Lepisosteus oculatus: one gene and its partner. Each later gene encodes a partner of the first gene's protein in a complex. Links are inferred from orthologs where the notes say so. Each region holds a gene or a part of one and is shown on either strand. Other genes may lie near its edges.

The links. The genes of interacting proteins can lie anywhere in the genome.
Region 2: the proteins of serine/threonine-protein kinase WNK4 (region 1) and klhl3 are in contact, whole or in part, in a crystal structure (PDB 4CH9), measured with the Homo sapiens proteins. The link is inferred for Lepisosteus oculatus from reciprocal best matches to the Homo sapiens genes WNK4 and KLHL3. Residues at the interface, in NP_115763.2 of Homo sapiens: Glu557, Pro558, Glu559, Glu560, Pro561, Glu562, Ala563, Asp564, Gln565; in NP_059111.2 of Homo sapiens: Arg339, Phe355, Gly357, Ser358, Leu359, Arg360, Thr386, Phe402, Gly404, Gly407, Ser432, Tyr449, Gly451, Ser481, His498, Arg528, Tyr577.

Annotation. Positions count from the first base shown.
Region 1 is NC_090723.1:4,339,901-4,347,849, reverse strand, and holds the start of serine/threonine-protein kinase WNK4, read right to left. Parts: upstream 3,096-7,949; 5' UTR 2,447-3,095; coding exon 1,805-2,446; intron 1-1,804. UniProt on the Homo sapiens protein: Serine/threonine-protein kinase component of the WNK4-SPAK/OSR1 kinase cascade, which acts as a key regulator of ion transport in the distal nephron and blood pressure.
Region 2 is NC_090706.1:38,768,320-38,775,493, reverse strand, and holds the start of klhl3 (kelch-like protein 3), read right to left. Parts: upstream 3,038-7,174; 5' UTR 2,917-3,037; intron 2,083-2,916; exon of another isoform or gene 2,019-2,082; 5' UTR 1,866-2,018; coding exon 1,852-1,865; intron 1-1,851. UniProt on the Homo sapiens protein: Substrate-specific adapter of a BCR (BTB-CUL3-RBX1) E3 ubiquitin ligase complex that acts as a regulator of ion transport in the distal nephron.

The DNA.
Region 1 (7,949 bases):
CACTGACTCGGCCGCCTCCTCAGGTGGCAACTTCATCTGTCAGCTGTCAGCTGTCAGCGTTACCCCCGAACAGCTTATAACTTCTATAGATCATTTTTATGCAGAGGGCAAGATTCCACTGCTGCCTGGACTTTCACTTCCTGCAACCTCACAGAGCCAGTTACCTGGTTTCTCTGGACTGGTCGGTGGAAATGTGAAGCTGAACATCTGGTTCTCCTGGCTGCCTCTCACACAGACCCTCTGCCTTCATTGTACCGGTAGAAACTAGGGGATCTCTTGTCTTTTACTGTTTTCCCCCCCATTTACCATGTTTTTTCCAAATCGTGTCTTTCTTTAAACCCAACTTTTTTTCATTGCAGTTGCAAGATTCTGAATCAACTCATGTGGACAAATGTAACTCAAATGCCAAACACTGCGCACCAGGCAGTTCTATGAAATCACATGACCCGGAATTAGGATTTTGTTACCTCAAAGAACAACACTACTCAGAATCAACAAACCCATCTGCTCACTTTTTAAAAATGTAAATAACATTACAGCACATATATGCCCATTAAGCCACGTATGTCCTACATTTTCATTGTGCATCTGGACCAAAACACACATAAGAAGGTTATGAATCAATCTAGCTTGTTTGGTTGCTAGTAGCTAATTGAACTGAAGAGCCAACCGAGCTGTTTTTTTTAAAAAAGAACTCAGGAGATCAGCTTTTAGAGCTTTGCTGGATATTTTGTGCTTCAACACTTTTTCTAAAAGGGTGACTCCTATTCTTAGATTGTAAATGCACTTCCCCTCAGATTCCACGTGTGCCCCCTGGTTCCTGTTAGTTTCTGAACATGTTCCCTTTCGGGTTAACTTTGTCAGAGCCTGCATCGTGAATCAGCCCCATCAGAGTCCATTTTCATTCCAAGCAGACCCCTCCTGACGAAATCTCCAAAGGAGTAGTGGTTTCGAAACTCTTCTCTCATTGATGGATTGTGGCAAAAGTACGACAGAATGCAACTCAAACCAAAAAAAAACCTTCAGTCTCTGTGGAATAAAGTTTCCACTCAAGCAGGGGCTTTCTTCTGTGAGTTGGGTGTTCGCCGTGTATTTTCGGGGTTAACTCTATCAAACCTGGCTGAAGAAAGCTGTCACAGCTCCCAGGCTGTTAACTTAGACAAACAAGTGTCATCAGAATAATAAGCTCAATTAACTTCTTTTGTGCATATGCAGCCAAAGAAGCCATTGATATGAAGTTAAAATCCTGGTTTTATCTGAATGTTGTCTTAAGCATCCAGTGTGACATCTTCAAAGAGACCATGTACGCATTATTAACATTATTAACTATACATTTTTAACAGCATCCCCACTCATGAAAGGCTGCTGTTCCAAAAGGCATATTGGATACATACTGTAGGTACCTGTAATAATAAATATTTGTGGCAGCAGAGGTTGCAGAATTGGTTAGGGTTAGATCTGGGGTATGAGTAAGGGACAGCTCATCGCCAGCACTTTCATGTGTTTTGGAGAAATGCTATGCGTGGCACCTCTTTGAAAGTGGTTGCATGAGACCGCATTCAGAGAGGCCGAACTTAATTAAAGCACCGCGATTCCGTGCTTCAGTGGAGCGCAAAGCAGCGCAATTGAGAAACCCAGACGAGTTCTAAACTTTGGAAAACACGTTCTCTCACAAGTTACACACACATACGTGCTCTACAAACACAAAGCTCCGGGATGTGGTAACAGCGCGGGGCTTTTCAACCCGCAATAAAAGCAGTATCACCTCTGGAGTGAAACACACCTCTCTCATCGTCCCTCTTACCTGCAGCTCGCACCACGCCACCTCCACCGTCGTCTCGGTATCCAGACCCTTGTACACCGTCTTGAAAGACCCCCTTCCGATTTCAATGTTGAATTTGAGGTACCTGCCGTCGGGGGAGGTGGCCACCGCTTTGGTCTCGATCTCCTCTTTCTCCTCTTGCTCCCACCTGCTCTCGGAGGCCGCCCGCGACAGAGCCGCCTTCTGCTGTTTGATTTGGGCGCCCTCGTCCTCCGAGTCCGAGCTGGCGTCCAGAGTGCGGGACGGCGCCGGGACAGCCCAGCCGCCTGCCGGCGGCGCGTCGTCCGCGCTCGGGGTGTCCGCGCCGGGCGCCGCGCTGGACTCGGTGGCAGGTGAGGGTGGACCGGGCAGCGGCGAGTCCGCTTTTACTTCTTCCGTCACGGTCCTCTCCGATAAGATGTTCTCGGAGGACCAAGACAGGGGCTTGGAGAGTGAGCCGTCGAAAAGTAGGGGCTCCAGCTCCATGCCGTTTTTCTTATTGAAGCGGTACGAGTTTCTTCTCGAATTTCCCGAGTGCCTCCGTCGCCTCGGCGGCACCCGGCTGGGCAGACACGAGTCGTCGTCCAGAACTGCAGTAAGATTTGGGAAACCGCAGCCAGCCAGGTCGACCTCAGCCTGGGACATGGTTGAAGTTTCTTCTTGAATGGCTGTTATGACCTTTCTGGCCCCGGCCGAAAAACAAAATTATACCTGGAAGGGACCTCTACACGAGACCATGGCACAGAACGGCGCAGCAGCCGGCGGAGATGAAGTTGGAGCGAATTAAGTATCCAGAAGGTGAGCCTTAATGCAGCCTTAGCGCTTCGGCTGCCTCGACCCCCGTCTTTGCTAGCAAAACGTCCGCTCAGTGTTTTTCGAGGCCGCAACAACAACAACAATTATTTTTAGATTGGTTGTCACAAACATAAACAGAGGAGAGAGGGAGAGAGAAAAAAAAACACACACACAAAGTGGTCCCGCCGATATATTCCTTCGTTGTTGTTAAAAAAAATATAAATAAAACGAACAAGGCAACTCCGCAATTTTAATTTTCACTTTAAAAAAAGTAGAAAACACCTTCGCGGTATACACCCAGCGCACGGATCTGGTCCGAAGTCTGGTGGAAAGCGTCTTTGTAAACATCCAAGAAACAGAAGTGCTTCTGTCACGACATCTCAGAAAACACGCGTTTGCAGCCGCGCAGTCCCCAGCCAAGTGGTGCGCTGTGCACGTCTGCAGGCGCCAGGAGCCTTTTAAAGAGCGCACAGACGCTTTGCCGATATCAACAGAAAGCAGGCGGCTCCTAGCACTGGCTGGACACCCGCACGGCTCCTCCTCCGCTGCCAGACCAAAACACCTTGCTTGGGCGAAAACGTGCGAACTACAGCGCCTAGAATCGGAGACCCGGTGCGCAGCCCGCCGTCTTGTGGGATCGGTATCTGCTTTCTAACACGAATCTTCTTCTGCCATTGCTGTTCAAGTTACTATTATCATATTCACTTTTTGAATGGATTTTGGAGAAGGCTACCCGGCGTCATCCAATTATTTTTTTTTTAGAAAAAGGGCTACACGGGCGATTTTTTTTAAAAGGCGCAGACACACAGTCCTATTGGTTTTCATTAGCGCAGCCCTTAAAACCAGAACCTTCCGACTTGTTTATCTCGTTGTTTTTCATCCCGTTTCTGCGCGACTGCTAACACATGATATATGGTGTCACGACGAGCGTATCGCGTTTTTTTTTTCTTTCGTGTGCTTCTATCAAAACGGGCCGATAAACATCGATGAAAAAACATCAGGTCAGCGCTTGCGAGAGCACTCGTGGGGACAGGGTCTTTATATAAACCTGGCGTGTGGCAATAACAAGTTACAAACAAATGGGCATTTTCTCATCACAGCTGTTCTTCACGTTCATGGCAGTTCAGGGTGTTCTTACTTACACTAGGTGGTGTTCTTCGGACCACTCAAGTACAAGCTTTCCAAATATTTATCAATGGGCTCCCAAGTGAATGTTATTCCTGATTCTCTTCAATCTGGTCGTTTCCAGTCCTATGTTCCAGCTATGCATTTTTCAAAACATTCAACTTGTACCATGCAAACATATTCTGTGTTAGTGGACTTAAGTCAAATTATTCAGGTGCTCCTTCCTTAAGAACAGATGGTTACAGATGAGAGGAGACCATTTGTCCCATTTCACTCATTTGAAAGTAGTTTATTGATCCACAGGATCTCATCCAGCTGTTTTGTGAAAGACGCTATTTCAACAGCTTGGCTGAAGAGCTTGTTCCACACTCCCACAACCCTCTGTGTAAAGGAGTACTTCCTGTTTTTGTTTTGATTGCACATCCCCTCTGACTGAAACAGAAGCGGAGGTAATTAACAGTGTAACAGTGTAATTAATAGTGTAAGTGCATTGTGTGAATATGAAAGGCCTGTGGCCAGCATAGTACCTCTGTGTTTTATTTAAAAGAAATACTTAAACCAGAGCACAAATACCCCAGATAACCCAGACAGTGGAAATTGCTGTGGAGATAATGAAACTGGACACCAGGGCCGTAATTAAGCTGTTCTTAAGTGCCTGTCACGATTGCCCTGACACAATGAAAGTTCGCTGGCCGTGTGCCACGCACCACAGCAAGACAAAGTGTAGGGCACAGATCTGCCTGGCTGGACGAAGTTGCGGTAAATGGCACAGAGGGCATTGCTGTCTGATAAAAGTATTGGTTTAAGGCAATTACTGAAATGTGCCATGCAGACTGCACATTGTAAGGCACAAGAACTCCCATAAATCAGTCTCTTCTGTTGTTTTCTTCCGGCTAGATTCTTGAATAACTGAATCAAACTGTTTACTTGATATGAATCAGAGATTTCATTTCAAGAAATGATGGGGGGGAGGGCTGCCTCCTGCTCTAGATCAAGATGTGGAACTGGGGTACCCTTTGTAATAATTTAAGTCCTCCTGGTTTGCCCCATTGCGACTTGTGTTGGGGCAGAGTGTGCCGTCTACAATATCACGTGCTCCATTGCCAAAAGTGTTTTTTGGAAGATGGAGCAAATTGGAATGTTGGGGCTTGTCTTCTCTTACACTTTGCTACAGTAAGACATTTTGACACCCCCAATGGGCTTAGGGGGACAAAGTATCCCATATACCCCCCCCATAAATGATGTCCCCTAGTTAGAATGATCTTTTCCAGCTAAGTAGCTAGGGATGACCTAAAAGAGACCTAGAAAGCTTGCAGGACTCTAAAGTGATAACCACGTGGTGCACTGGCCCACTGCAATCCGAATGACGTCAGCCCCAGCTCCTTCATTCCAGCTCACTGCCAAGCTGGGTGTCCAATATCAGCTTTTTAAAACACTGGCCTCCTGTTCTCCGGGCACTGTGTGACAATGTGCAAGTCACTACACCTGGGAGCTCAGCCAGTGCAGGTTGCAGTGCGAGTGCTGCGCCTGATTCTGGACTGTGGGGCAGGCACTTGGCTTGCTGAGTAACCCTCAGCTTCAAAGGGACAATCCCTCTTCCAGTCTCCCCCCTTGTCTGTTCTGCATGCAGCTCGGTAACTCTCTCATATTTCTCCAACACATAACCAGCGTACCGGAAGGAGCATTGTCCATCAAACTGAACGGGACATTAACAGTGATGAAAAATGATCATTATAAACTGACGCAGGATAGAGGGCATCATAAAAAAAGCAGAAGAGTAAATCCTACGTAATTACAGAATCAAGGACAAACCATAAAATGTGCTACAAGCACGTGGAACACTTAAGTTCTGTGCTCGTCAGATAGAACTCGTGTTCTTAAGAAGGTGAAAATATGCAGCACTGCAGAGGCAACATTCAGTTCCAGGGAGCTGGGAGAGCAGAAAAGTTTGGTTATCTCCGGGGAAATGCACTGAGCTCCACCTGTGGCATCGGAGACCTCCGGGTTATCAGTGAGAGCACATGGGCAGGGAAGGCCGGGCTGGGGCCCTGCCCTGAACAGCGCACGTGACTTCTCTCTCGGTTCAGAGAGAACGAGTCCTCCTCAGAAAACAAGAAAACAACTGCGAAAAGCAGGCCAGAATAATCAGCGCTCCAATCTTATACTGTCTCTTTGCAATTGCAGTTTGCTTAATCTGTGTTTTCCTGCAATTTGGCTCACTTATACTGTTGTTGTCCTTCCCTTACTGGTCGTTCTCTGCTGTTCTGCTCAGACTGCTGTTTGCCTGGCTGAAAAAAAAAACAACCACCTCTACATCTTCAGCTTCCTGAATTCTTGTGGGAGAAAGAGGGGGATTAATTTATGAGTTTAGTGTTACACTAATCCATCCTATTTAAGCGTTAATGTTTCACCAAGTTACTACTTACGTCATGAAACATCCAGAATGCATTACTGAGCTCGTTGAAAATGTTTTTTCTCAGAAGTTATGGTATATTCTGTGAGCGCAGAGACTAAGAAAAAGTGTTTTTTGAAGGATTTTCTTAATTCTTGATGAAAACAATGTTAAAATGGTAGCAAACAAAATTTTAATCCGTGACCCTTTCATATAAGTGTGATATTAACAAAATCTGATTTACAATGACCGTATTTGATCTAGATAATTTGTCACAGAAAAAATAAACATAACATTTGAAACATTATGTTAGGGCCAGGTCATTTTCTCAACTACATAGAAGCTAGTGATGTGATATATTTTAATTACACCTTTTTTGCAGTTTCAGATGTTTAAGATTACAATACAAAGGTGCCGTGGTTTCCAGCACAGCTATTTCCCGAGTGTTAAGAGACGGATTTAAGTTTTTTTTTGCCGTTTTATGCTTTGGCAGTATTATTCTACGCATTTTATACAAATTCGAGTTGGGATCTGCGTCAGTGTGCGGCGACTGCAAAGGAAGAAACAGGCTAATTTCACAATGAAAAGTAGGAAGACGAAACAGCGTTTCTTCCGTAAACTATCTGAGATAAGTTCATGCACAGTATTTGTTTTAGATTTCCAATGGGCAAAAAACAAAACATATAAACACCTGATAAAATATATACGCTAAAATGATCCTATGACATTATGTAGATAACCGATAACTTTATTACATACGTGTATACCTAAACACCCTGTATTTGAAACTCTTTGAGGATTCACTAATTTATTAGGTTTAATCATTATTGTTTTGCAAACAGTTTGACATTTAGCTTTTTTTTAATCTTTCCTGGGCACGCTCCCATCCAACATAATGCTGCTTCTAGCAGACGTTTGGGTGCCGTCAAGCCCAGGCCTGCCCGTCTCCGGCCTCCAGCGCCCGAGTCCCGATGTTGTCCCCCCCGTCCCACCACCCCACCTGCGACCGCGCAGCAGCTCCCCCTGCGGGGGGTTCACACTGCTCAGGCCTTTACAGCCGTCCCCTCAGCCCGCCGCCCGGGGCTAAGCCAATAAGTCAACCTAATTACGCCTTCATTCCGCCTTAATTAGCGGATGACCGACCTAAAGAAAGGAGATTAAGACGGACACAAATATTCGCATCTTCAGTCATAGCAGTGCTGGCATCTTCTGACAGGACAGGTTACTGTAGGTGTCCCGAGACTGGGAGGGTACAATTTCTTATTTTAACAGTTCCCCCCCCCCCCCCGGAATCTTTTGCCAGATTTCAATGTACTCCTTCGTCAAGATAGTGCGACTGCTCGGCCGAATCCAACTAAACATGGTGAACTCCAGCCACCTGGTGGACATTGTTGTGTTTGCAGGTGTTTTTATTGAAAAACAAGCCGTGTACCTTGGTACCACACAGAAATCCAAGTTGGATGTCGTTTCAGTTTATTTTACAGTAACCCAGCAATATAAAAGGCAGTCAAATACAGAGCAAATGGCTACAAGATTTTGACAGGAAGATCCAGCGATATGTACAATGGCTACCTCCTTGCTTATAATGCTTGTACAATAAAGCTGCATGCTCCCCATCTCCAGCTTTTTCCAGTAAGGAACCCCAAATCCTAAAGATCTTCCACAAGCCAAGGATGGAAAACTGTTTTCCAGACGTCTGTTGTTTGCTGAGAAATTCTTTATTGCAAGAAGTATTGCACTGGACCTGACGGGTATTTATCCTCGTCAGTCACTAAACAGAAGTTAATCACTGTAAAAAAAAAAGAAAATAAAAAACAGTGGAAAAATATTCTGGAA
Region 2 (7,174 bases), on another chromosome or scaffold:
CCAATAGTGACTGTATAGTGCTATATTGCAAAGGGGAGAGCCACTACGCACTCAATACTGTACTTATTACGTTCCAAACCCTGACCCCAAAGCATATGACAGTAATGGTGTCATATGGTCTCATACAAGACTCCCACAGTGGACTGCAGAATTCACTTTTGACCCAGCCTGGCCCTGACATGAACAGTAAATTCAGGTCAATAGCTTACTTACTCAATCTACTCTGCCACCTGTAAAACACCAGGTTTAAGTACCCCCTTCAGAAATTCTAAAAAGCTTCTCAATGGCTAACAAACACCAACACAGCTATTACAAAAGTATCTCATCTACTTTCAATTGTAACTTTCAAGACTGAAATGAGTGCTGATTGTCAAAGACAGCAGGAGTTCACAAACTGACCACAGCAGGGCCTAACAAACTTCAATGCAAGGGAAATTAAGCCACTTTAAGGTTTTAGGAATTTGTACATGAAATAACAAAAGGCTGATCCTATGTTTACTGCCTTAGTTGGAGTATCTTTGCAAAGACAGCTGCAACTGAAGAGGAAGGGAAAAAAACCTCAGTTTCAAAGCTTTCTCAAAAACTACTCAGTTAAGAACAAAACTCCCTATGTCCGTCCATCCATGTTCTAACAGACTCATTCAATCCAGGATCGCAGGGAAGCTGGAACCTATCCCAGCATGCAACGGGTCCAAGGCAGGACAGAGGCCAGTCCATCACAAGACTCCTTATGTCCCATACACAATTAAAGGTACCAGTGAATTCGCTTTAATGGGTACTGTTGCAAGAGGGCAAATGTGATACCCGAAATGCTTTCAAATGAAGAACTACTACCAGAGTCCTTTGCGTCATGAAGAGGGGAAAGAGAACACTTGACTACAACAGGCAAGATTTTCTTCTCAATGGAAAAGTATACAATCATTTCTGCGATGTGGGAATAATGGATATAGGTTTTTTCAGCCAGCTTTAAAGAGAAATAAAGTCTGAATTGCAAGGGTTTCCCAGTAAACTTTAAAAATGTAAACCTTGTATAATTTCATCCAGTACTGCAGACGGAAAGGTCACAGATCTCAGGTCTGGCATGAGCCCTTGTCGAAATGTCACACTGGAGAAGCATCAGGAACACCGGCGTTACAAGCGCTCATACCGTGAATATTCATCCTTCTTAAAACGGCAAAAGCGAAGCTCGTGTTTTTCACGTGATCTCCATATTGAAAATGTATAAGCGATGTAACTCGTGATAAAAATAGTCAATTTGACGTTTTTAATAACCGTGCCTTATCTACTCCTTTTTAACGTTTCCTAACCAATAATTCTGCGCGTCAAAACACAGGTAATGTACAGGCACACCTGGCGAAAAAGAAAAATCACCCGTTCTAGTTTGGTCGGGCTCGCCACTAAACTTGAGCACGACATCCTGCCGTGCCGCCTGTAAACAATCCAAATCTTTCTTTCGGATTTGCACAGGGTCGAAAAAAAAGATCAACACCTCCCGCTCAGGCAGGAGGTGTCGACTGCAAGCAGTTGCGGTGGCCAGCCGTACGTTTCCGACCGGGGCTGTGCGTGGTCCTGGGACAGTTATCACTGGGCTCGGCTACACGGTAACACCTCATCACGTGTCCGAGCGAAACGTTGGGAGGTACCGGTACACCCCCACCTGCTGCTGCTGCTGCATGCCTGTACAGCACCGCCTCGCCGAGGAGCGGAAGACGGCAGAAATGCTGCCCCCCCCAAAAAAAAAACAAACAAACAAACGCGATGGCAGCGCACAGATTCGAGGGGGCTGAAGGCAGGGGCAGAGGGGTCTCAGTCCCGGCGCACGCAGGGGCACAGCGGCGAGGCAAAACTCACCCTGCATCTTCCATGGTTCCGGTCCTAGCGCATGGGTGCTGTCCGGCTGTCCGCTCACACCCTGCTGCTGCTGCTGCTCACGGCGAGAGCCGGGCGGGGGTCTGGCGCAGCGCCGCTCAGGGGTACAGGACGGACCAGCTCCCGAGTTCGCCAGCCCTCTTCCTCCGCTGCACAGCAGACCGGTGAATGAGAGGGAAGGACACACCTCCCCCCTCCCTCTCCTTGCTATTTTTTTCCCAGGTCTCCTTGCTCCAACCCCCCCTTTCTTTCCCTCTTCCACTCTCTGTGCGCGTGCGGACCCCCCGAGTGCGCGAGAGCGTCGCAGCCCCCCTCCTCCCCCCGAAAGACCCCCCGTGATCCATAACACGCTGTCATGAAACGGTCACCCCCAAAACCTGTATCGTTCGACAAAAAACGTGACACGGTGAAGACTGAGGCTGCTGTCGAAGCGCTGAAGAGCGCCGCCCCTTCCAGTGCGAGCCGACACTTAACACTGTGCAGTCTGAGCAGCCGAGCAACATGTGGGGGGGTTATAACTGAGCGTAACACAGAAGAGGTCAAACAAAACTGTCATGTATTTTAATATAGAGACATGGTATGTGAGAAAACATGCAATCGCCTTTCTGTGTATCTTTCTACAGCTGGCTGTGAACAGTCTTCATAGGACATGAGCAGCCTACTGCAGTATATCACGAATGATCTGCTATTGAGAAATGAACACGCTCGTAATTTTGTTTTATTGATTGTGCGACTACGTTATCACCATTGTTGATTGGTAACGTGGAATAGGCTGTTTTAACGCATCTTACTTTCACTGTCTCTCTTATGCAAAGCCAACAGCTGTAGGAAACCCGTGTCAATGGACAATGTAACACGAGAGTATGTCTCCTAAAACACGAGCGCAGTAATTTGTTTCTGCTGATCATGTGCTAAGTTATAAAATACAAATTGTCTTAACAGGCAAGCACATAAGCTTTCATTTTTTCCAGTCGAGCTTCTAGTTTCTTCTGCAATACAGTATGCAGTCTGAAAAATAAGCTATTTTTAGCTCTGCAATTTGGTTACCCGCAATTCTGGAACTAGACATTGTGATGACGATAGCCGGGCAGGCCTCGACAGGAGCGAGAACCTTCTTCACTGTTGGTCTTCGTCCTCACTTCCAATGTCTGGGGAGTGCTGATCCTGGGTTGTCGCATAAGGCCTTGGTATGATGATTTCTTACACATTTATATAGCACTTTTATGGATGCAACGGCAGACAGAGTGCACCAGCAGGATCAGCAATCAGGTGGGAGTGTGATGAAGCCAGGTCATAATTGGGGATTATTAGGTGGCTATGATTTGTAAAGACCAGGGGGGAATTTGGCCAGGACACTGGGGTCAACAGCCCTACTCTTTCTGATAAATGTCCTGGGATCCCTAATAACCAGTCAGGACCTTGGTTTTATGTTTTTTTTACACTGTAGCATCCCCTTCACTACCCTGGGGCATTAGGACCCACAAAGTTTCTAGGCCCCCCCGCATCTAGACCTGCTACTGAGTGTCCAATGAGAAAGGCCAACAGAAACACCGAAATCCCCCACCCCCCTCCTTATTTTGGTCGGACTATCAATGTACCGGACTCTCGAGCATTAGTGCTTTTCCAGAAGGATAAAACGGGGCACCTAAAGGCCCTCAGCCCCAGAGTGGAAGGGACTCAAGACCCAGGTTGGGACACTGCTGCTACTGTTAAATAAGGTGCCTTACGCCACACCGCTCCAACAGACCCAGCTGATTTGGAATCAATATCAGTATAGTAAAAACGACTGCTGACAACCAAATAGAGGAGCTTTGGAGCTTGCCTAATATGTGCAGGTGCTCCCACTTAACACGGGAGGAAGCTGGGCTATACTGCTCTTAAGATTGATCAATTACGGCACAATTTATCTGAGGTAACATGCATTGGCACCAGTTTAAACAACTGGGCACGTAACCGGGGCAATCTGAACAAACCCTCTTGCTCAGGGGTATGACACCCGTGTCCCACCTGCAATACGAACCCGGTCTTCTGGTTTCAAGTACGGAGCCACATTCACCACTCTTTTTCGGCCACAGTGGGGAAACAATCACAACATCACAATCGCACAGAGCTCGTTTCATAGCAACTAGAGTGTCCGGAATACACAGCCGACAGTAGTGTTTATAGACACTATTCCCAAAGGATTAAAAAGAATCTGGAAGCAACGGGGATGCAAACTCCATCAATTCCAGAAACTAGACATGCATTTATTGAAGGCAGGAAGGCAGGTACTCGTAGTGCTGGAGCCTTCGTGAATGAGCACCCAATCTGAAAGGTCTGAACAGGAGCAGTCACGAAAAGTACATTCAAATCTAAGTGCATAGTTCCAAGTATTCACTTCTCCCCTGCACAGTACAACCACCCTTAAGCTACACCCGAGTACTGCTCTGTAGACGGTAACTGTACCTGGAAGAAAAACATACAACAGCAGCTCGGAACACACAACTCCGAACCTTGGTAAGAGAAAGAGGACGGCACCGATACTCAAATACTTTTATTAAATATATATTTTTTTAAATCACAATATTTTTTTCCACCGCTTTTCGTTTTTTTTTTAAAAAGAGCGCCCATCAGTGATATTCCAGTCCGTGGATTCGTAGCCAAGTCTGCGTGACCTGTAAAACAGTCATCGCATGAGAGCTGCTCTGGGCAGCTGGCGGGGCACGCGGGGCAGCTCCGGGCAGCACACGGAGAGCACACGCCAACTTCACGCCAGCCAGCTGAGCTCCAGGATAGCCTCTGAGTGTAAAGAGAAAACAGTGTTAGAAAGAGTATCACACCTTAAACCCAACAATGATAAGAGGCTTCCCCCCAGTACGTATTAACTGAAGAAACAGCTTCTCGAATGTAAGAAGGAGATTAAGCTGATTGCTTTTATTGAATGCAGTAATTGCTCAAGCTGACACGACTCGTTTCAAACCCACTTTAAAGTAACTGCTGCCCCCGTGTGTTCCAAAAGTGAATACGTAAGGTGTCATCTTATGAAATTGGAAAATGAATTATTGCACATTTCCGCTGAATGGTGCTGTAACTTCAAATGATGGGTGAAGGTGACAAAACTCGTGTGTGCATTGATTTTTTTTTTAAATCTCGCACGTTTTTGGTTTTAAATGTTCCCTCCACGTTTATCAAAAACGCGTTTTAAGAGGTGGTCATGCTGTTCCGATTTATTAACCTTAATAAAAAGGCTTAACGTTTAAAGTAGCAAAGGAACATAAAACCTTCCTGAGGGATGGAACAAAATCAAAAAGCGAATATCTGCCGACGCGCAATGTTTTTAAAAGCCGTTTATAAGTGCCGAAAAGCACTCTTCTATCCCAATAAAAAGTGATGTGACCAAATCTCTCTCTACCGGAAAGACACCATTCAGTCGGTGTCCATGTTCAACGCGATAAGCGCTTCGGGACTACTATGCAACACGCTCTCAAAAAAAAAAAAACATTTCTCCCAAAAATACGGAGCCATAACCCTGAGGCTAACCCGCGGCCGATGAATGGCTGTTCATGAGCCCACGGCCAGACACAAGGGCGCGTCGCCAGAGCTGCAGAACAGGCCGCCGTGTCCGCCATAGCGGCGTTGCCATAGGAACCACGGTCTCCACGCACGGCTCTCCCGCTACGCAGCGCGGCGATTGCGGAAAGACACGTGACCATCGCTGCCCGACTTCGTCCGCCTCGGCCTGACAAAGCGCGCAAGAGTCACCGCCATCTGGTGTTTAAATAAAAGACTTCACCGCATCAGGGTAGGTAGTGGGCCAGTAAGCCCGAGTGCCTCCTCGCTTCCCCCCCGATCTCGACTTCCTGCCAAGCCCGACACCCCCCACTTCCGGCAGTCCCGTGCCACACGAGCCGCGCGCAGGAAAATATCCGGGTCCTCTCGCCCGTGACGTCACGCCCACTTCCCCTCCGCCATTTCCAGCTCTCCCGGCACCCCGTCGGCGCCGAAACGCGCCTTCTGCTGCCCTGCCTGTTCGCAGTCTCTCGCAGGCCCTGACAGTAAACGTGCGGTTCTTGTTGCCTCTTTTAATAGCAACTCGAGGAATGCGAGCACGTCGCTAATTCGCCAATGCTTTAGCGGACTGGAATGGATGCTCAGCAGCTGCTTCACACAAACGTGCACAGACATCTCTTTCAGCTTTGTGCGCAATCCAACAGCGTTAAAAATGAAACTGCTCACTTAGGAGTGTTCTCCTACCCACAGGAACTACTCGCAGCTTTTGTTTTAAGGAAAGGAAACTTCCAAAAAACGTCTGTGGACTCCTCTAAATGCAGGCTCGTCTGTTTTAACACATCACCCTCTTTCTGTTCAACCAGCACAAACCGGGATTTGGCCGCCTGGTGTGTTCAGAGGGTTGGTTGCAACAGCTGGTCCCACACGTGTCTGGCCCCCGGGAGTAATTCTGTCAGCTGTTATGTGCTGTGGCTAATAAAGCCCTTCAAATAAGCTCATCACCACCCCGCACAACCCAAAAGACCCCCAAGCACGAGCCCACTGGGAGCACTAAGAATAGGCGCAGGACGAACCGGCTGATTTGTGCAGGAATGAAATACGTGCACGCCAATTCCAGTCAACTAATGAGATGATGGAGGGCTGGAATACCAGAGGCCGTGGTTACCTTGTGCTCTGTTGCGTGCATTAAAATAACGTCAAGGACATCACAGGGTCTGGATTAGCACAGCTCAGAGGGTAAGGCTTTAGCCTGCATCGAGTTCCTACTCAAAAGTTCCCCTTAGATTCAGAGCTCTGTCTCGGGGATCTGCACCATTTTGTAATCGGTGCCATCTTTCACCCATCAGTGGTATGCATTTCCTCTGCGAGCACACATACATACCCCCCCCATCACATACAGGGGGGGAAATTTAGCACCTGCATACATCAGGGGACGCTGGCAGAAATGTCCTCCGAGATCCCAGGTACCTTAATTCAAGTCCCTCTGGACGAGTATGCCTGGGTTCTGAAATACCACACAGCGGATGTTTTCAGAGCGACGACCCCAATGAGTAAACAGGTCTGAGCGTGGGGGAGGGGAAGGGAACGGGTTATGGGGCGGAGCGGTGGCACTGTGGCTAAGGATCTGCGCCTGTGGCTGGAAGGTTGCCGGTTTGAATCCTACTCCGTTGGGCCCCCGAGCAAGGCCCTTCACCCCAGCTTCTCCAGGGCGCCGTATAAACGGCTGGCCCTGCGCTCTGACCCCAAGCTTCTCTCTCCCCGTCTGCGTGTCTCATGGAGAGCAGGTTGGGGTCTGCGAAAAAACAAATTCCCCATG